Rattus norvegicus: one gene and its partners. The protein of the gene in region 2 interacts with the protein of the main gene of each other region in a pairwise test. Links are inferred from orthologs where the notes say so. Each region holds a gene or a part of one and is shown on either strand. Other genes may lie near its edges.

The links.
Region 1: the proteins of Evl (region 2) and Trim9 interact in binary tests that used the Homo sapiens proteins (3 or more experiments, as listed by UniProt). The two-hybrid records come from large-scale screens. The link is inferred for Rattus norvegicus from reciprocal best matches to the Homo sapiens genes EVL and TRIM9.
Region 3: the proteins of Evl (region 2) and Sptan1 interact in binary tests that used the Homo sapiens proteins (3 or more experiments, as listed by UniProt). The link is inferred for Rattus norvegicus from reciprocal best matches to the Homo sapiens genes EVL and SPTAN1.
Region 4: the proteins of Evl (region 2) and Abi3 interact in binary tests that used the Homo sapiens proteins (3 or more experiments, as listed by UniProt). The link is inferred for Rattus norvegicus from reciprocal best matches to the Homo sapiens genes EVL and ABI3.

What each region holds. Positions count from the first base shown.
Region 1 is NC_086024.1:94,589,748-94,594,024, reverse strand, and holds the start of Trim9 (E3 ubiquitin-protein ligase TRIM9), read left to right. Parts: upstream 1-1,473; 5' UTR 1,474-1,631; coding exon 1,632-2,453; intron 2,454-4,277. UniProt on the Homo sapiens protein: E3 ubiquitin-protein ligase which ubiquitinates itself in cooperation with an E2 enzyme UBE2D2/UBC4 and serves as a targeting signal for proteasomal degradation.
Region 2 is NC_086024.1:133,237,182-133,241,347, forward strand, and holds the start of Evl (ena/VASP-like protein), read left to right. Parts: upstream 1-1,365; 5' UTR 1,366-1,853; coding exon 1,854-1,858; intron 1,859-4,166. UniProt on the Homo sapiens protein: Ena/VASP proteins are actin-associated proteins involved in a range of processes dependent on cytoskeleton remodeling and cell polarity such as axon guidance and lamellipodial and filopodial dynamics in migrating cells.
Region 3 is NC_086021.1:33,637,625-33,641,872, forward strand, and holds the start of Sptan1 (spectrin alpha chain, non-erythrocytic 1), read left to right. Parts: upstream 1-1,444; 5' UTR 1,445-1,549; intron 1,550-4,248. UniProt on the Homo sapiens protein: Fodrin, which seems to be involved in secretion, interacts with calmodulin in a calcium-dependent manner and is thus candidate for the calcium-dependent movement of the cytoskeleton at the membrane.
Region 4 is NC_086028.1:81,274,758-81,278,764, forward strand, and holds the start of Abi3 (ABI gene family member 3), read right to left. Parts: upstream 2,805-4,007; 5' UTR 2,521-2,804; coding exon 2,395-2,520; intron 2,168-2,394; exon of another isoform or gene 1-2,167. UniProt on the Homo sapiens protein: May inhibit tumor metastasis. In vitro, reduces cell motility.

The sequences.
Region 1 (4,277 bases), about 39 Mb from region 2:
ACAACCAATGATCAACTACTGTAGTCATTGTGCTAAAAAATATATTTGCGAGATAATCCAATTTATTTGTACTATTTCTCCAAAAATCAAAGATTATAGAAAGTACTTCTTTTCCCTGGACAAAAAAAAGTGCTTTTAAATTATAAATGAAGCTATGAATAATCGTTATCTACTGGAAGTTGAAAATTTGGAAGATCCCACGGGACTTGAAAACCATTTTTGTCACTTGTTTTATGAATCACTCAGAAAATTAACTATGTGTGCCCCCAAGATAAATTACTTCCTTGGAATGTCACTGGATTCAAAGATTCTACCCATTGAGTAACAGGCTGATATATTGATTCAAAGATTCTATCGTCGTCCTCATTTAAGGGTTATGCAGGCAAGGGGCAGGATCCATTATCTCTAGCACGATTTGGGGAAAAGAGAAATCGGTTAGAATACAAGGGCTATCATTAGATTCCTTCATTACCTCACAGAAGCAAAAATAACACCCCGCCCCCTATTCTGGAATTTATGGTAGATGCTAAGGGCATGTGACATTGGATAATATCGTTTGGAATCAAACATTGGAATCTGCAATGCCATAGCAATTCGTTCACATAGCTAGTTTCCAAACAATAGCACTCAGAAACACACAAACTCTGCCTGCTTCAACTCAACTAATGTTCCTGGGGCCTCTCTAAAACCCAGCCAGATGCTGAGGGATGAGCTTCGAGAGGCTGGGAGGGTGAGAAGAACCTAGGTACCTTCACTCCAAGGCGTAGGGGCCTCCACACATTTAAAACATGTAGCGATGGTGGTACAGCTTTTGGAGGAATACTGAGCCTTTGCCTCGGAGTAGGGAAAAAGCTACCGGGGAGGGGGGGGAGCGCAAGAAGGGGGCACTGCAGCCATGACACACAACCATCTCCCCCAAACACGATGGATGCGGGCGCTCCAGCTGCTTCTGAGTGCTGGAGAAAAGCCCAAAAGCCCCCAGGAAGGCACGGGGGAGGTGCCAGCTTGATGCCAGCAGCGGAAGGAGAAGGGGTGGGTCGGCGCGCAGACTAGAGCTGGAAGGCAAGCCCCAAGCGCCGGCGACAGGCAACAGCAGCCCACTCACGATTGGGAGGGGTTCTCACGCCCCCTGCTCCCGGGTGACTGCACTCGAGCTCAGAAGGAAGCGTGTGGGGGGTGGGGGTGGAAAGGGATGAATCATCCCGCCCCACTTCTCCTTCTCGGCCCTTGCTCCAGCCCCCTCCCAAAATCCCGCGCCAGCTTCAGCAAGCCAAGCGGCTGCTCCAGCTCCGACTCACTGAGCCCCCTGCGGCCTGCAGAGAAGGGGAGACGGACAGGGCGGGAAGCCAATGAGAACGCAGCTCTCACGGCCGCCGTCCGATGAGCCTCGGCTCCCTGGCGGGGTGGGGCTAGCAGCGGGAAGGGGGCGGGCCCGGGCTGGCGCGCAGCGCGGACGCTCCACCGCTCACAGAGAGAGCGCGTCCTGGGGAGTCGGCGCCTAGGCGACGCGGAAAGGCGCCACCACCGCCGCCGCTGGCCAAGGTGCTGGACACCACAGGCCTATCGACTGCTTCGCCAGGTCAGGCCCCCTTTGCCGCAGCCTCTGCTGCCTCGCTTCCAGCCAGGTCCCCATGGAAGAGATGGAAGAAGAGTTAAAATGCCCCGTGTGTGGCTCCTTCTATCGGGAGCCCATCATCCTGCCCTGCTCTCACAATTTATGCCAGGCTTGCGCCCGCAACATCCTGGTGCAGACCCCGGAGTCCGAGTCCCCCCAGAGCCGCCGGGCCTCGGGCTCTGGGGTTTCTGACTATGACTATCTGGACCTGGACAAGATGAGCCTTTACAGCGAGGCGGACAGCGGCTATGGCTCCTACGGAGGTTTCGCCAGCGCCCCCACTACCCCGTGCCAGAAGTCGCCCAACGGCGTCCGTGTTTTCCCCCCTGCTATGCCGCCACCGCCCACCCACCTGTCACCGGCTTTGGCCCCTGTGCCCCGCAACTCCTGCATTACCTGCCCCCAGTGCCACCGCAGCCTCATTCTGGATGACCGGGGGCTCCGCGGCTTCCCCAAGAACCGCGTCCTGGAAGGGGTCATCGACCGCTACCAACAGAGCAAAGCCGCGGCCCTCAAGTGCCAGCTCTGTGAGAAGGCGCCCAAGGAAGCCACGGTCATGTGCGAACAGTGCGATGTCTTCTACTGCGACCCTTGCCGTCTACGCTGCCACCCACCGAGGGGTCCCCTAGCCAAACACCGTCTGGTGCCCCCGGCCCAGGGTCGCGTAAGCCGACGGCTGAGCCCGCGCAAGGTCTCCACCTGCACAGACCACGAGCTGGAGAACCACAGCATGTACTGTGTGCAATGCAAGATGCCGGTGTGCTACCAGTGCTTGGAGGAGGGCAAACACTCCAGCCACGAAGTCAAGGCTTTGGGGGCTATGTGGAAATTGCACAAGGTGAGTCCTATGCAACCCACCCCTGACTCCCCGCGTCCTGGGTCCTCCTGATTTGCAGCACTGGTTCCCTCTTAGGGTGACAGCGCATCCCAGTGGGGGCGCCGTGCAAGTGCCTTCGGCGTCTGCCTTGCGTTGTGGTGCATTGCAGGAGGCTCTGGGGACATTTGAGGCGACGCAGGGAAGTTGAATGTCTCCAGAGAGCTGTTGCAGGAATGCCTTAGCATGGGTCTCCCTCCCCAGGCATTCTGCCTGTGAGCTGGGTCAGGCCGCCCCCTCTTCAGTCTTCAGCCTATCTATGGTCACCGCCGCCGTAGGGCAAAGCCTATTTGGCTTGGCGGAAGCGCGCGGGTGGCAGAGGCCTCCGGGCATGCGCTGGTATGGGGTAGGCTGAGGGCCTAGGAGACTAGGGCAGGTGGGGGCGGTGGGGGCGGATAGACCTCAGGGGATTGTCTCCGACAGGGAGACAGAAGCCCTGATGCACAGCGGGGGGTGGTCCGTGGACAGAATACTGATGAGTCTGCACTGAGCTAGACCTGGCTCCAGCTGGAAGAGAATCAGGTCCGGGTTCCCAGAACTCCTGTGGTCCTAAGGCATCCTTAGGAGGAGGGGGACCTAAGGCTGGAGCAGAAGGAGTAGAGTTTTCTGAGCGGTAGCGAACTAAAACCGTCCTTTCCCCCAAACCCTTATTCCACCAGGGGTCAAACCTTTTCCCTTTCAGTAGCTGCACGTAAACTTTGAGACACCTGTTAGCAGAATTATCTTTTGGGTTGCTTTTGACATGCTGTCATGGAACTCCTCTACTCTGATGGCTTCTTGTGATTCTCAGACCATCCTTAGAACATTCTAGCAAAGCCTACTTGACATGTTCCTCTAGTCCCCTTCTGCTGATTAGCCCTGACTCTCTGCTTCTGTGTTTCTTGCTGTTCCTCAGTCAACACCTAAGCCTTTACATTTGGGTGTTTCTCTCCTGAAATTCTCTTCCCCAGTGCCTAGACAGAGCGACCCTCTCTTACCTCACTGACTGTGTTCAGATCTGAGTTAAGCCCAGATGGAGGCTGTGATGACCCCCTGCTTCAGACAACCCTTTGCTCCCTGTTTTGTTTTTCTCAGTAGTATGTATCACCATGGTAACGTGCCACATGTCAATTATGCTGGCCTTGTACTTATGTATTGCTCTTTCCCCCTAACACATACAAAACAGGAAGGTAAGCTTTGTGAGGAATGCGCTCTTTTTAATAACATGTCTGTGTTGCTTAGAAGGAAGGAGACCACTTTGCAGAGATGTGCTTTAAGTCCACTTTACTTTTCAAGTATTCCGTTTACTGGGGAGGGGTTGGGAGGTTCTGCCCAGTGTTGTCAAAGGAGAAATTGTCCTTATACCACAGGGTTGTCTGCCCAAGAATAAGGTAATGAAATGGTGTTGCAACCCTCAGCTGTGTCCCTGCTAGTTTGCCAGCATTCCTTGGACTCTAGAGACGCTAACTGAGAGATGCCCTCTCTGCAGTTAAGATTGGGACAGCCATTTTCATTGCCAGCATTTTCAGCAATCACTGGGGGACGTCCTCAGCTCTTTCCCCGTCTCCCAGGTGACAAGGGATTTATGGCATGTGCTACCATGCCCATCTCTCCAATTGTGCTTTTTAAAATAACATTTAATTTTGAAAATTGGAAAAAAATAGTTCTCAGGCATGTTTCTGTACAAAGTATCTAAGAAAATAGTCGCCCTGCCTGGACAAAGACCTTAGTGCTACATGCTAATTGGGATTGGTAGGAACCACAACATGTTCATGAAGAAAAGCCCATACTCTAGCCATAAAGACCAAA
Region 2 (4,166 bases):
CTGCAGAAGCAGAGGCCCCACATTTAATGCCAAACATGCTCAAACCTCCCTGAGTTCCCCATCCATTAGGTGGGAATCCTAAAGCTCACCTTACAGGCTGCTGGGGCTCAATTGAAGCCCCAAGGTCAGTAGGAAACAGACTGAAAGGGACTTGCTCACATTTCTCCCTATTCCCACCTGTCCTTCCCCTTTCCCGAACTCAGACTTCTGAAGCCAACCTCTATTTGCAAATCAGAATGAAGGCTTTATTCCTCGGAAGTAGAAGAACTTGTGTTTTCCACCCTTCTGATACAAAACGTTACAAAAGGTTAACATTTTTTGAAACATGTGACCTCAAAAAGATTTCTTTCTGGAGGCCACCAGTCCTTGGCTTTGAGAAGTGATTCCTCATTAGTGTCAGTGATTCTAGTGGGGGCGCGGCGGAAAGACGGTGTCTTTACAACAAACCCAATTGATTATGCCCTCCAAGTCACAGAATGGCAATTTGTTAGATCCCAGGAGCAAACACCTGGCGATTGGTGGCCACAAGCAGGAAGAACACAATGCCTTGCTGGAATCAAGGTATGCAGCAACCAGGACTCTCCTGAGGACACCTGGGATGCCTTCAGTTGACCTGAGGCCCCACTATTTTCACAACTCTTAGCACGTGACAAGGCTCTTCTGTAACCAAGAGACCAATATAGATCCCAGGAAGAAGGGAACCAATACGGTTAGGAAGACTATGACCTCAGGCAATGCTAACAGTACTGCAGATCCAGGAATCCGTTCAAGATTGCATCTTTCAGCCCTTAATGCTCTGTTCTGAATGCACTGGAAAGCTGGTACAAGTAGGGCTCCATGTGCCTCAACACTCTCCCCCCATTCAGCCTTGACTCACAAATCACACCCTTTGCCCTAAGCCTCTCCACCTGCCCTTCCCTCGACAGCTCCTCCACCACCAGGGATTCTGTGGGGTCTCCGCCCACTCTGCCCGCCTAGCTCCAGGTCTACGCCCCAATCCCCAGCCCTAAACCCACGACCCTCCAGGCTTTTCGGTGGAGCTCGGCTTTGTTTCTCCCTACTAACTCCTTCTTCCAGGCCTTTCCTAGACCTAAGATCCCGAAGCTTTCCCGCAAAGGTCGCCCGGAATCTTTCCCTTGCAAACAAAAATCCTGGAATTCACTAAGTTAACCTGTTCCTCCAAACTACAGTTTCTCCCAAATTCTCCTTTGGGACCTTAGGCCACGCCCCCTGTCTTGCCCCCAGACTCCATGGCCCATCCACCCTTTCCACAAAGGTTCGCCCCACCCCTCTGGACCTGGGCCACACCCCTGTCCCGCCCCCTCACGCTCCGCCCTCTTAGAGGCGCGGACCGCCGAGCCCCGCGCCTTTTGTGTGGAGCTTCTCTGCGGCGCGCACCCATTCCCTCCGCGGCCGCGGACCGAGGGCCGTCGGCGCGCGCAGTCCCCTCTGCGGGCGGAGGGTCCCTCCGCCCCGCGTGCACCCCGCACCCCATCCTCCCGCCGCCGCCCCGAGTTTCAAGGCGGACGCGCGCTCTCGCTCCCGCCCTCGAGACCCCGCCGCTCGCCCCCTCCCCCGGCCCGTCGGCTGGCGGGCGGCACGCGCACGCGCCGGCCCGGGCACGCGCGCCCGCCAAGATGGCAGGGGCCGGGGCCCAGCTGTCAGTCGCCGCCGCCGCCGCGGCCGCGCTGCCTCGCAGCTAGCGGCCCGGACGCCCGCCGGAGAAGATGAGCCCCCGCCGCCGCCTGCAGCCCAGCCAGACGCGGAGCCGCCGCGCCCGGGGCCGGCTGCCCCGCTAGCGCCCCGTCGCGCCGCGCCTTCATCCCCGGCCCCGTGCCCGCCCGGCAGCCACGATGAGGTGAGTAGGGGCCTCGAGCGCGGCGAGGCCTGGAGCGCCGGGCGTGGAGGGCGGGGTGTCCGAGCATCGAGGGGGCACCGGAACCCTCAGCCGGCGGCCCAAGCACCAGAAGACAGTCAGGCCCCGGGGTCCGCGGGAGGCCGCGCCCGCCTTGTGCTGTCTGCCGGCTGTGAGCGCCTCAGCGGCGGTCCTGTTCACTTCGGCTTCTGTAGCTCATCTCCATCAGGGCGCTCTCATCATCACCTTTCTTTCTGACCTGTCCCCTTTCTCTTGCAAACCCGCACATTGTGTAACCCCCAAAAGGTACGGCTTTTGATGTGCCCCTCAGCCGGAACCTTGTCAACACCCAGAAACTCCCGTGCTCTCTTCATCGCTGCTGCACCCAGGTTTCCTTTCCAGACTAACCTTAGCCTGCTTTCTGGGGTGGGGTGGGGGGCGGGGCGGGGCGCATGGCAGCGTATGCCGGTTTTTTTTTTTTCTCTTTCTGTGCAATGTTATCTTCTAGATACATCTTTCTTAAAAACACTGTAGTGTCCAATTGTAGATTCGTTTCACCTGTTTTGTGAACTGTATAAATTCAATAATGCATTATGTAATTTTTGTGTCTGCCTTCTTTCATCCAAGGTATTTCTGAAGTTCATCCATCAGGTTTCTATTATCTACTGTCCTGCGTAGTGTAGACAGTCCACACTTTATCCATTCTGCTAATGTTAGTAGACTTTTGGGTTGTTTTGGGCTATTAACCGTTCGGCGAATATGCCAAAAGCATTCATTTCTAATGAATATATATTCTACCTACCCACAAGCAGGTTGTTGTTGGTTTTGTTGGTTTTTTTTTTTAAACATAAAATCATGTACATCTTTTGTTGTAGTGGATAGAACTAAAATTCCCAAAGTCATGTTACCAGTTTATACCAGCAAACATTTAATAACCCTTGTTTAAAATCCCTGACACCCCTTGGTATTGTCTGATGAAATTTTAGCCATTCTGGTGAGTGTGAAGTGACATTCCATCAGGGTTTTAATTTGCAGTTTCTGGTTGACTGAAGAGGCTGATTGTCCATCTGTGTATGTTTGGCATTTTTTAAAAATTAAGTGTCTGTTTAAATATTGTCCAGTTTTAGCGTGAGGGGTTGTCTTCTTCCTAATTGGTAGAGTTACTATTCGTAAGTGAAGAAGATAGCTTGCTAACATTTTGCAGAAATTTTAATATTTTGCTTTTTATATAAAATAATATGGTCCACCTGGAACTGGTTTTTGTGTAATGTGTAAAAGGAACTGTTTTCACATTTACCTATCATGATTTATTCCTCATCGTTTACCAAGCTCACTGTTTCCCTCAGCTGCAATGCCACCTTTGTCATCTTTCAGACTTCCTTTTGGGGTCATATCTGTCTGAAGAACGTCTTTTAGTGTCTGTCTTTCTGCCTATCGCAATGTTGGGTGTATCAGACCAAGGCAAGGGTCTTGCACGCATCCAATGATTGCTATCCGAAGCTTTTGCTTGTCTGCTTTTTGTATCTTTTATGTATATGAGTGCATGTGTGCATATACATTCCGTAGGGGCGGGGGCACACCCAGGCCTGGGGTTAGCATTAGGAGTTATTCTCCAATTTCTTCATTGAGGCAGGGTCTCTCAGTTGAACCCACAGCTGGCCACTAACCATCTGTGGTCCTGTCTCCTTCTAACAGAATTGTAGGGAGGCTGCCACACCCACCTACTTTGATATGGGTTATATGGATAGACCTTCAAGCTTGCATGGGAAGCAGTTTATCCTTGAAACCATCTCCTGTGTCTTTGTTTTTGTTGTTTTTGAGCAGGGTCTCAGGCTGACTTGGAACTTAACCATCTCCTATCTGCTGGGATTCTGAGTGTACACTGCCGGCCTGGTCCCTTTAGTATTTTTTAGTGTAGGTTCTGCTGGAGCAGATTGTTAGACTTTGTTTGAAAATGTTTATCCTTCACCTTCCTCTGGTTTATAAGCAATTTTATTGAGATATAACTCATAGCACAAAGCATCCAGGGAAGCATGCAGTTCATGGTTTTTAGACTGTCCACAGAGCTCTGCAACCATTACCATTAGAACCTTTTCCTCCACTTTAAACACTCCTTTCATTGGTTAGTTTCGGAACTCAGCACTCCCCTGGCTCCAGCTTTTCACGCTGTCTTGTAGTCTGACTTGACTGTTTCTGGTGAGGAGTCACTTGCTATGTTATGTAACGTGCTTCAGATGTCAGGAGAGTGGGGCTTGCTTTGTCTGCTTCTAGGTTTTTGGCTTTTTTTTTTTTTTTTTTTTTTTTTTTGAGA
Region 3 (4,248 bases), on a different chromosome or scaffold from region 2:
ACCTGCCTTTTTTCTTCCCTGAAGCTGCTGCTGGGCGTGGCCACTCCTTTTTTATCTTTCCACTCCGAGGAAAAAGACTAGGAATCTTCTTTCACTATCATGTCTACAGCCAGTGTAGCCTAGAAGTCACCTTGCAGATCCTAGGCTCAGCAGAAACCAAACTGCAGAAGACCAGGAAGCTTGGACTGGGCCTCATCCCAGTTCTGGAGCAATGCCCAGTTCTTTATAATTATTTAAATAGGAGGGTGGCTTGGTAACCAGGAGGCTGATGCCTGGCAGAGCTGCAGAACTCCCAGTAGGCCTGACTACACAGGAATGAGCTGGGTGCTACTCCAATGGTTGCCACACAGCTGTCACCCGAAATGGAGGAAGGGAAAAGGCGTTTGCAGTGGAGGAGCCTGGTGATAGAGTTTAGAGCCAGGCTCTGAAAACGGGCTGTGCATTGGACAGAAATTACAGAAATTTTGTTTTCTTCTTCTCAGAAGTCTAGCACCTACCTGCTTAACTGCTTGTGTTCAAATCTTAGCTTCTGATTGCTTCCTGCCTGACCTGGGGAGAGAGCTACCTTCTATGTATTAGGATGTTAATTTGTAAAATGGGGAAGGGAATCTCTACCTTGTAAAATTAGTGTAGGGATTAAAAGCTCAAAGAGGCAGCATGCACAGTGTCAGCTAAACAGCAAAGTTCAATTAATAGTGGGGAAAGTAATATCGTTTATCAACTGGGACGAATACACCCTATTTTACTGGCAACAGGAAGAAAGATTGCTGGAGAATTCTCCAAATCCTGAAATAAAAGCCTTATGCCACAAATCAGTCTTTTTTTTTTTTTTCCTAATCAGGATTTTTTTTTCCTACCACCTCCTCAAACACGGAGCCCCAAATCATCTCATTTTTTTTGGCCCCAGCCCCCACCATAATTGGCAGACTTGGGTCTCCCAGAGCCAAGCCTCCTCCTGAGAAAGTGGAGAGTGGGAGCCAACATTCCAGTGAGATCACCCGAAAGGGACAGGGCGTCTTTCCGGCCAGGGCAGCAACATCCCCAGCTTGACTGCAGCGACGGGCCCCGCCCCGCCCTTCGCCGCAGTCTCCGAAGAGCTCCCAGGGCGGAGGGGTGCGGCACAGATTCTCTGCAGGGCGGACTGGGCGGGGCAGAATTGCTCCGGTCCCACGCCGCGGCGGGCGGATGCGGCGGCTCCTTTGCGCCGCGCGCTCCCGATGTCCCCTTCCTCCGCCGCCCTTCGGTCGTTTGCCCCAACCCCCACCACCCCGCCCCGCAGCCTCGGCTCCTTCCGGACGCGCTCGGTCCTTTCCGTACTGCAGTCGAGCATCTAGTCCCGCCTCTCGCGTCGCCAACTCCGGCCCTTCCCTCACGCTCGCGCTCGACCGCCGCGGGGGCGCGCGCGGCCGCTTATAAAAGCCCCGGTGCGCGCGCGTCGCCGTCAATATCCGCTGCGGAGCGAACGGCGTGAGGCAGGGGCCGCGGCGGCGCATCTTTTTCCTCAGCAGCCCTCAGCGCGGCGACCCACGCCCCTCACCCCTAGGAACCGGTAAGAAAGGGCGGTGGGCAGGAAGGGAAAAGCCGCGGGCGGCCGAGCACCGGAGCGATGCAGACAGATGAGCTGCCGAGCCTCGCAGGCGGCTCCGTGGGCCGCCGCCGCCTTTTGTGGCGCGTGGGCTGCGGGGCGCGGCAGAGCCGGACGGCGACCTGGCGTGTCAAGGTCTGCGGAAGGTACGCGAGGGGCCCTTCCCGCGCTCGCGGCCCCACCCGACGCGGCAGGTGGCGGGGGTGGTCCTCCTCAGCACCCACCCACGAGCGCCCCCGCACCGCCCTTCGCCCGCAGCCGCGGTGCCCGCACCTCTTGGAACCTCGCAACTGCAGTGACGAGCTCTCTGACCTTAATTTCATCCTGTGTGGCTGTCCCTGGCCCTCCGGCCGCAGAAAGGCCTCCTTTTTCTTTCCTGGTAATAAATGTCTTTCCTCAACAGTGCTGACCTGCTCCTGTCTAATAGATGCGGCGACGCTTGGTAGGAGGAGATCCAGAGCCAATAGATAACTTAATAGCTTACAGCCCTTTTCTTTCTATGCAAGACATTAAGACGAGAGCTTCTTTTTTTGTTTTTGTCAAATTCTACTGCTGTGCCAGTGTGAAGTGATAGAGCAATCTTTTGTCTGAAGCTATCCCTGCAAATTACATGAATTGCTGCTTCTAAAAGAAGAATTTGATTTTAAAATCCTCTCAGGTACTGGAATTACACACACACACACACACACACACACACACACACACACACCACAATATCAAGAGGGCTTCTATATAAGTAAGGTTCGATGTGTTTTAAATAAATATCCCAGAAACCTAGAGTGAGATCGTTTCGAGCTGCTACACTTTACAGGGTCTTTTTGACTTTGATCTCTCTGTCTCTGTCTGTCTGTCTGTCTGTCTCTCTCTCTCTACAGGCTCTTACTGTGTAACTCCGGCTGGCCTGGAATTTGCTGAATAGCTTAGGCCGATCTCAAACTCAGAATTTTCCTGCCTCAGCCTCCCAGATGATCAGGTTTTTCTAAATAGAGACCCAAAACATTTAAAGTCGTTTGTCCTTCCCCTTGGCATTTTCAAAAAGCTAATTATCATGGCTGTCAAGGAATACAAGAGAGACCAAGCATACGAAGTATTTTGATAATGTGTTAAGAAATTGCGTTGTCATAGCAATTGGACTTAAGTAAAACAGAATGTATCAAAGATGGCAGGGTGGGGGTGTCTTGTAGCCGGGAAACAAGAGCTTAAGAATAGCACGAGCAACAGTGAGTTACAAGAAGCCATTGAGCCAAGATTCCCACTCAGACTTAAATGTCTTAGACTTTAAAGGTCAAATTGAAGTCAAAGTTGGAAAAAAAAAGTGCTGTAGTAGATCTCCTGCAGGAAATTAACAATAAGCCTTTTTTAGTAACTGGGCCATTAATTCCTCAAAGGGACCCTCAAAGTGTGTTGACTGCTACCCAGGGATCCAGATAGAAAGAACAGATTAGAAGGTTTGCCCTATACCAGACAAATGTGAAACAGTTCTCTGGTAAACTCAAGGCCTAGAGACATATTTTAGGTATGCAGTTCCACCTCCCCCCCCCCCCCTTTGGGACAAGGTCTTGATATGTAGCTTATTCTGGATCTGTGCAGTTGGGTGTAGCAGGTCTTGGACTCATACTCCAACCAACAAGTCTGGCGGCCACCACCCCTTGACCTTTACCCCTCTTAAAAGAGAGGAGGCCTTGCTATGTGTCTCAGACTCCTGGGCTCAAGCTTATTCCCCACCCTTAGCTTCCTAAGTAACTGGGCTTGTGGCAGGCAGGAGCTGCTACAGCAAGCTATCCTCTGGTAGTGCAGTTTGGCCTTGGCTGGATGCTTCGTAGTAATCTAATCCTTGGAGAAATCTGATGTCAAGTAACATAATGAACAGGTTTAAGCGGGGAGACCGTATTAAGTATATCTTTTAGTTCCCTAGATTGTAATTTTCTATTATTTTCCTTCTCTGCTTTCACCTCGAAGGTGGGGCCTCTGCAGATACTGAGAAATGGCTTTTAGGAATATAGCTCCCCCAGTCCGGTCTGAGGAATGTGCATTGAGGATAGAGGGTCTGCCTTTGTTATCAGTCCCACTGCCTATTGGAGCACTCCACTCCCTGTATCTGGGTCTGCCGCAGCCCATCAGCCGTGGCCTTACAGGGGGAATGCCTTGATCTGATGGCAAATGCTGACTCCAGGAATGCAGAGGCCCGCATAGCTGGCGGGAGAGCCATCTGGCTGCAACAGCCGTGCAGCGAGTGGCACCTCTCACATCTCTTGCACATGATGCTTACACTTGTTTTGAGTAGGAAATGATAGTATTTTTCTAAAGGTACTGCACCAGCAAACTAGCCCCAAGGTCAATCTTTGCTGTTTGAGTTCCTTACTATACTCAGGCTTTCTTGAAATCATCTTTTTACTTAACTGCTTTTACAGTGCAAATGCCTAAAACCCTCAAGATTCTTATTTCGCCAGAATGTGGGTGGGAAGAGGCATATTATTTTTAAAAGAACATTCAATATTAAAAATCAATCCTTGGGCAAACAGGCCTGATCGAGTGTGACTTGGCCAAGGCAGCACATTTAGGTGACGGTAGTTCTACATACCCACAAGTCTTGGCTCCCTGATTACATCTCAGATTTCTGGTGGGATTCGGACACTGGGGCAGTCTGTGCTGTGGGATCTTTG
Region 4 (4,007 bases), on a different chromosome or scaffold from region 2:
AGACCTGGTGACTCAGCTTTGTGGCTTCAGGTCCCGTGTGCACACCAATTGTACACATGGGATTGCACCCACTAGCAGCACTGTGAGGGATGGGACGACATCATGGAACACAAAAGGCTGTCTCCTTCCCCGCCAGGGGAGCCTGCCTACGTGCTAGCAGGCAGGATAGGTATATAAGCCACATGGCAGATCATCTATCTACAGACTGTCACTCGGTGTCTCTGTCTGTCTCTGTGTCTGTCTGTCTGTCTCTATTTGTCTCTGTGTATATGTCGGTCTCTCTGTGTCTGTCTGTCTCTATTTGTCTCTGTGTGTATGTCGGTCTCTCTGTCTGTCTGTCTGTCTGTCTGTCTCTCTCTCTCTCTCTCACACACACACACACACACACACTCACACACACCAGAATGACACTCAAGGTAGCACTGTGGCTTGAAGGGTTAAGAACTGGGCCCAAGAGTCAGAATCCTGGTCGTTCTTTTATTTGGGATTTCCATTTGCTGTTTTTGATCTATTAGAGGGAGTGTCCTGCTATGCAATCCTGACTAACGTGGACTCTCTATGTAGACTAGAACATAGGTAGAACGTTCTAAGATCCTCCTGCCGTAGTCTCCCAAGAACTGGCATCAGGAGTATGGGCCACCACAGCCAGCCAGCATTCCAAGTTGGAATCCTGTCTCGGTGACTACCTTGGAGGCCTCTGGAGACGGAGTCTAACCCTTTCCAAACCTCAGCTTTCTCACTGGGAAGTGTGCACAGCGCTCACCTGGAAGGACTGAGGAAGGCTGTGGGAGGGTACGTTGAGAACTTGGCCATCATTGCCTCTTCGCTCTGCCATTTCCCATAGGCCTTTGGTTCTTTTTTCTCCCCAGCCCCCTCATAACAGGAGGAGGCCCCTGGTGTTATCTCACCGTCTGGCTAGGTGTAAGAGGTTGCAGACTTGGCCTGTCACTCTTAATGTTGGCCATTGTTTTTAAAGATTTATATATGTATATGAGTACACCGTAGCTGTCTTCAGACACACCAGAAGAGAGCATTGGATCCCATTACAGATGGCTATGAACCACCATGTGCTTGCTGGGAATTGAACTCAGGTCCTCTGGAAGAACAGTCAGTGCTTTTAACCGCTGAGCCATCTCTCCAGTCCAGCCTGTCGCTCTTAATGGAGCAGAGGAAACCGAGGACAAGGAGTGCAGATAAGCTTTCCCAAGCCAGCCATACACCGTGTCAGACATGTGGACAGATGGAGAGAAAGGGGCTCAGGTGAGAAGGCAGGGCAGCCATGCTTGGCTCTGTGATGCAGAGCTGGGTGACTCCGGAGAAGCCACCTCTACACACACACACACACACACACACACACACACACACACACACACACACACGCTTTACGCTACCGTTTTCACATTCATAAAACAAGAATTATAGTCTTTGTCTCACATGGTGGCTGTGAGGATTGACAAAGGAGTAGGCGGATAGTCATGAAGTCCTCTCTGCCTCTCTTCTCTCCCCAGGAATCAATGTTATGTGAACAAGACTGACTACTCCAGGGTGAAGTGAGGCTTAGCTCAGCAGAAGAGCTCTTCCCAGACAGCCCTGGGCTCCCCTCCCAATACCTTAAGAAACTGTAACAAGGGGCTGGGGATTTAGCTCAGTGGTAGAGCGCTTAATTAGGACGCGCAAGGCCCTGGGTTCGGTCCCCAGCTCCGAAAAAAAAGAACCAAAAAAAAAAAAAAAAAAAGAAAAAGAAAGAAAGAAACTGTAACAAAACATCTGTCCCAAACAATGGCCAGGAGAGGTGGTAGAAGCCTGTAATCCCAGCACTAAGGGAAGGCTGACACAAGAGGACGGTAGATCTGAGGCCAGCCTGGGCTACAGAGAACTCAAGGTCAGCCTGGGCTACAGTGAACTCAAGGCCAGCCTAGGCCATACAATGATACCACATCTCAAAAACCATCTGAAGCTGCTCTACAGTGCCTCATTTCCCAGCAGCCAGACTGTAAGCCCCCTGCCTCTGCAGTACACCGGTTCTCTCATCAGGATCTGCTCTGACTCTCCTCTGTTCTCTTTCAAAACGTCAAGGAACAAACCCCCTTCCCGTGTGTGGGAAGTTTTTGACTGCCATAGACCAACTTGAAGACAGTACCAGCACCTGTGAGAAGGATGATCTGTGGTAAGGTGGGAGAATCGATTACAGATACAGTGATATTCACGTATCCTCTACCTCTGAGGCTGTGTCCCGGGAACAAGGGTTGTGGCGCTTTGGAAGCACTGAGATGGCGCTGATGCCTAAAGATTGCTCAGCCAAGGTGGGAACAGATACCTGTCAGATGACCCTGCCAGAGGGACTGTGCTGCGGTCCCCTCGAGGTATATCCTGGCACGAGCCCTCTCCACTTACCTGCAAGTAGTTATCCTCACAGTAGTTGGCCACCCGTAGCAGGGCGCTGTGGTTGCCCCGCAGAGCCTCCCGGCCCGTGGGGATATCGAACTCCTGCAACTGCTGCAGCTGCTGCAGCTCCGCCATGGCTCGGCCTCGGTGGGGTTCCCTGGGGAGCCTGCTGGGTTTTGAGCCTCACCCTGCCCCTGATTGGCCGCTCTGCCTTCCCTCCCTCTGCTTTTGGTTTCCTCTGAGTGAGAGACCCAAACCTGCCTGCAAAGGGGTAGGCATGCTCATTCCGGGACAAGAGGAAGTCAGGCCCTGGGCCCTGGGCCTGGGCCTCTCTGTCCCCTGCTCAGGAGAAGGGGGAAGCCAGGGGCCTGTTGGGGCCTCAGCCTCCCAATCTCACCAGGCAAAGGAAGCCAAGGTCGGGGCATCTGTGATTGCTCCCTGGTCCTGGAGAGGAAGCTAGTTGATGGGGGGATGGGGTAGTAGAGACAGGAGGAAGGGGCTGGCCTGCCACGGGAGTGGATTTTCCACTCATGGAAGAGGGGAGGAAAGAGCAGAGGGTGGGGGCTTCCTTGGGATGAGTCACCACGGGATTGGGAAGAGGAGGGTGGATAGGATATGGAGATAAGTCATACTGGGGGCGGGGCCAGGCTGGCAGCACAACTACAATGGTAAACAGCCCTCGCAGCAGCAAGAAGAATCAGGGTTAGACACCAGGAAGACACAGCTAGAATTCCTGAACAACTGTGGGCAAGCTTGTGAAGGGCCGAGTAGGAAGTCCTGTGACCAGTACTTTGTGCCTAATGAAGGTAGGAGAAGATGATATGGACCAAATAACTAGTATGAGCACTCAGACCAGCAACAGGAAGGCCTTTGATGTGAGATAACACCATTCCACATGGATGTATGGGCAGCACTGGCGGACAGAGCGCTGAGCAGGGCTCATGCATTAACCGAAAGTTGGAAGGGCGATGGTTCTGTCCTAAACTTGAGTTCAGGGAGCTCCCAGATGTGAGTGGGATTTGATCCTGCATCTGGGATGGCTTTGCAGAGCCCCTCCCCCTCCCCGTCTGCCATCCCTCCTGGCAGAAGAGGAACCTCACTTAACCACACTGGTTCCTTAACATTTCCTCAAGAATGTCCCTCGCTATTGGACAAATGTCTGTCAGAGCAGGAGCTCAGCTCTGCTAAATGTCATAGTGGTGTCAGGTGGTCCTGGGAGAGGCAAAGGGAAGAAGCAGACTGTAGGCGAGCATTGGGGATTGAAGAGAGGGGAGTTCCACACTCCGGGGAGGGCACGGAGGCCAAGAAGCAAAGGTTACACAGCATTAGGACGGACACAGCCACTGGGTACTAACTGTTGAGTGTTGGAACTGAGGGTGTGTCTTTATGGAGTGAATGAAGATCGAGACCCTTGTACCGTGAAATTGTGGAATCCGATAATGGAACCATTTTGGGGGGGGAGTTGGGGGAAGAACCTTTGGGGGGGCTTAGCGGAGGGGGGAGCTGTGAGCTAGTTGGCATGGGAGGAACAGGCTTTGTAATGGAGAAAGACAGGCAAGCGGTACAATAGGCTAGAGGGAAGCTGTGGGGCCAGGGAAAAGGGGCGTGGTCATGAAAGGAGA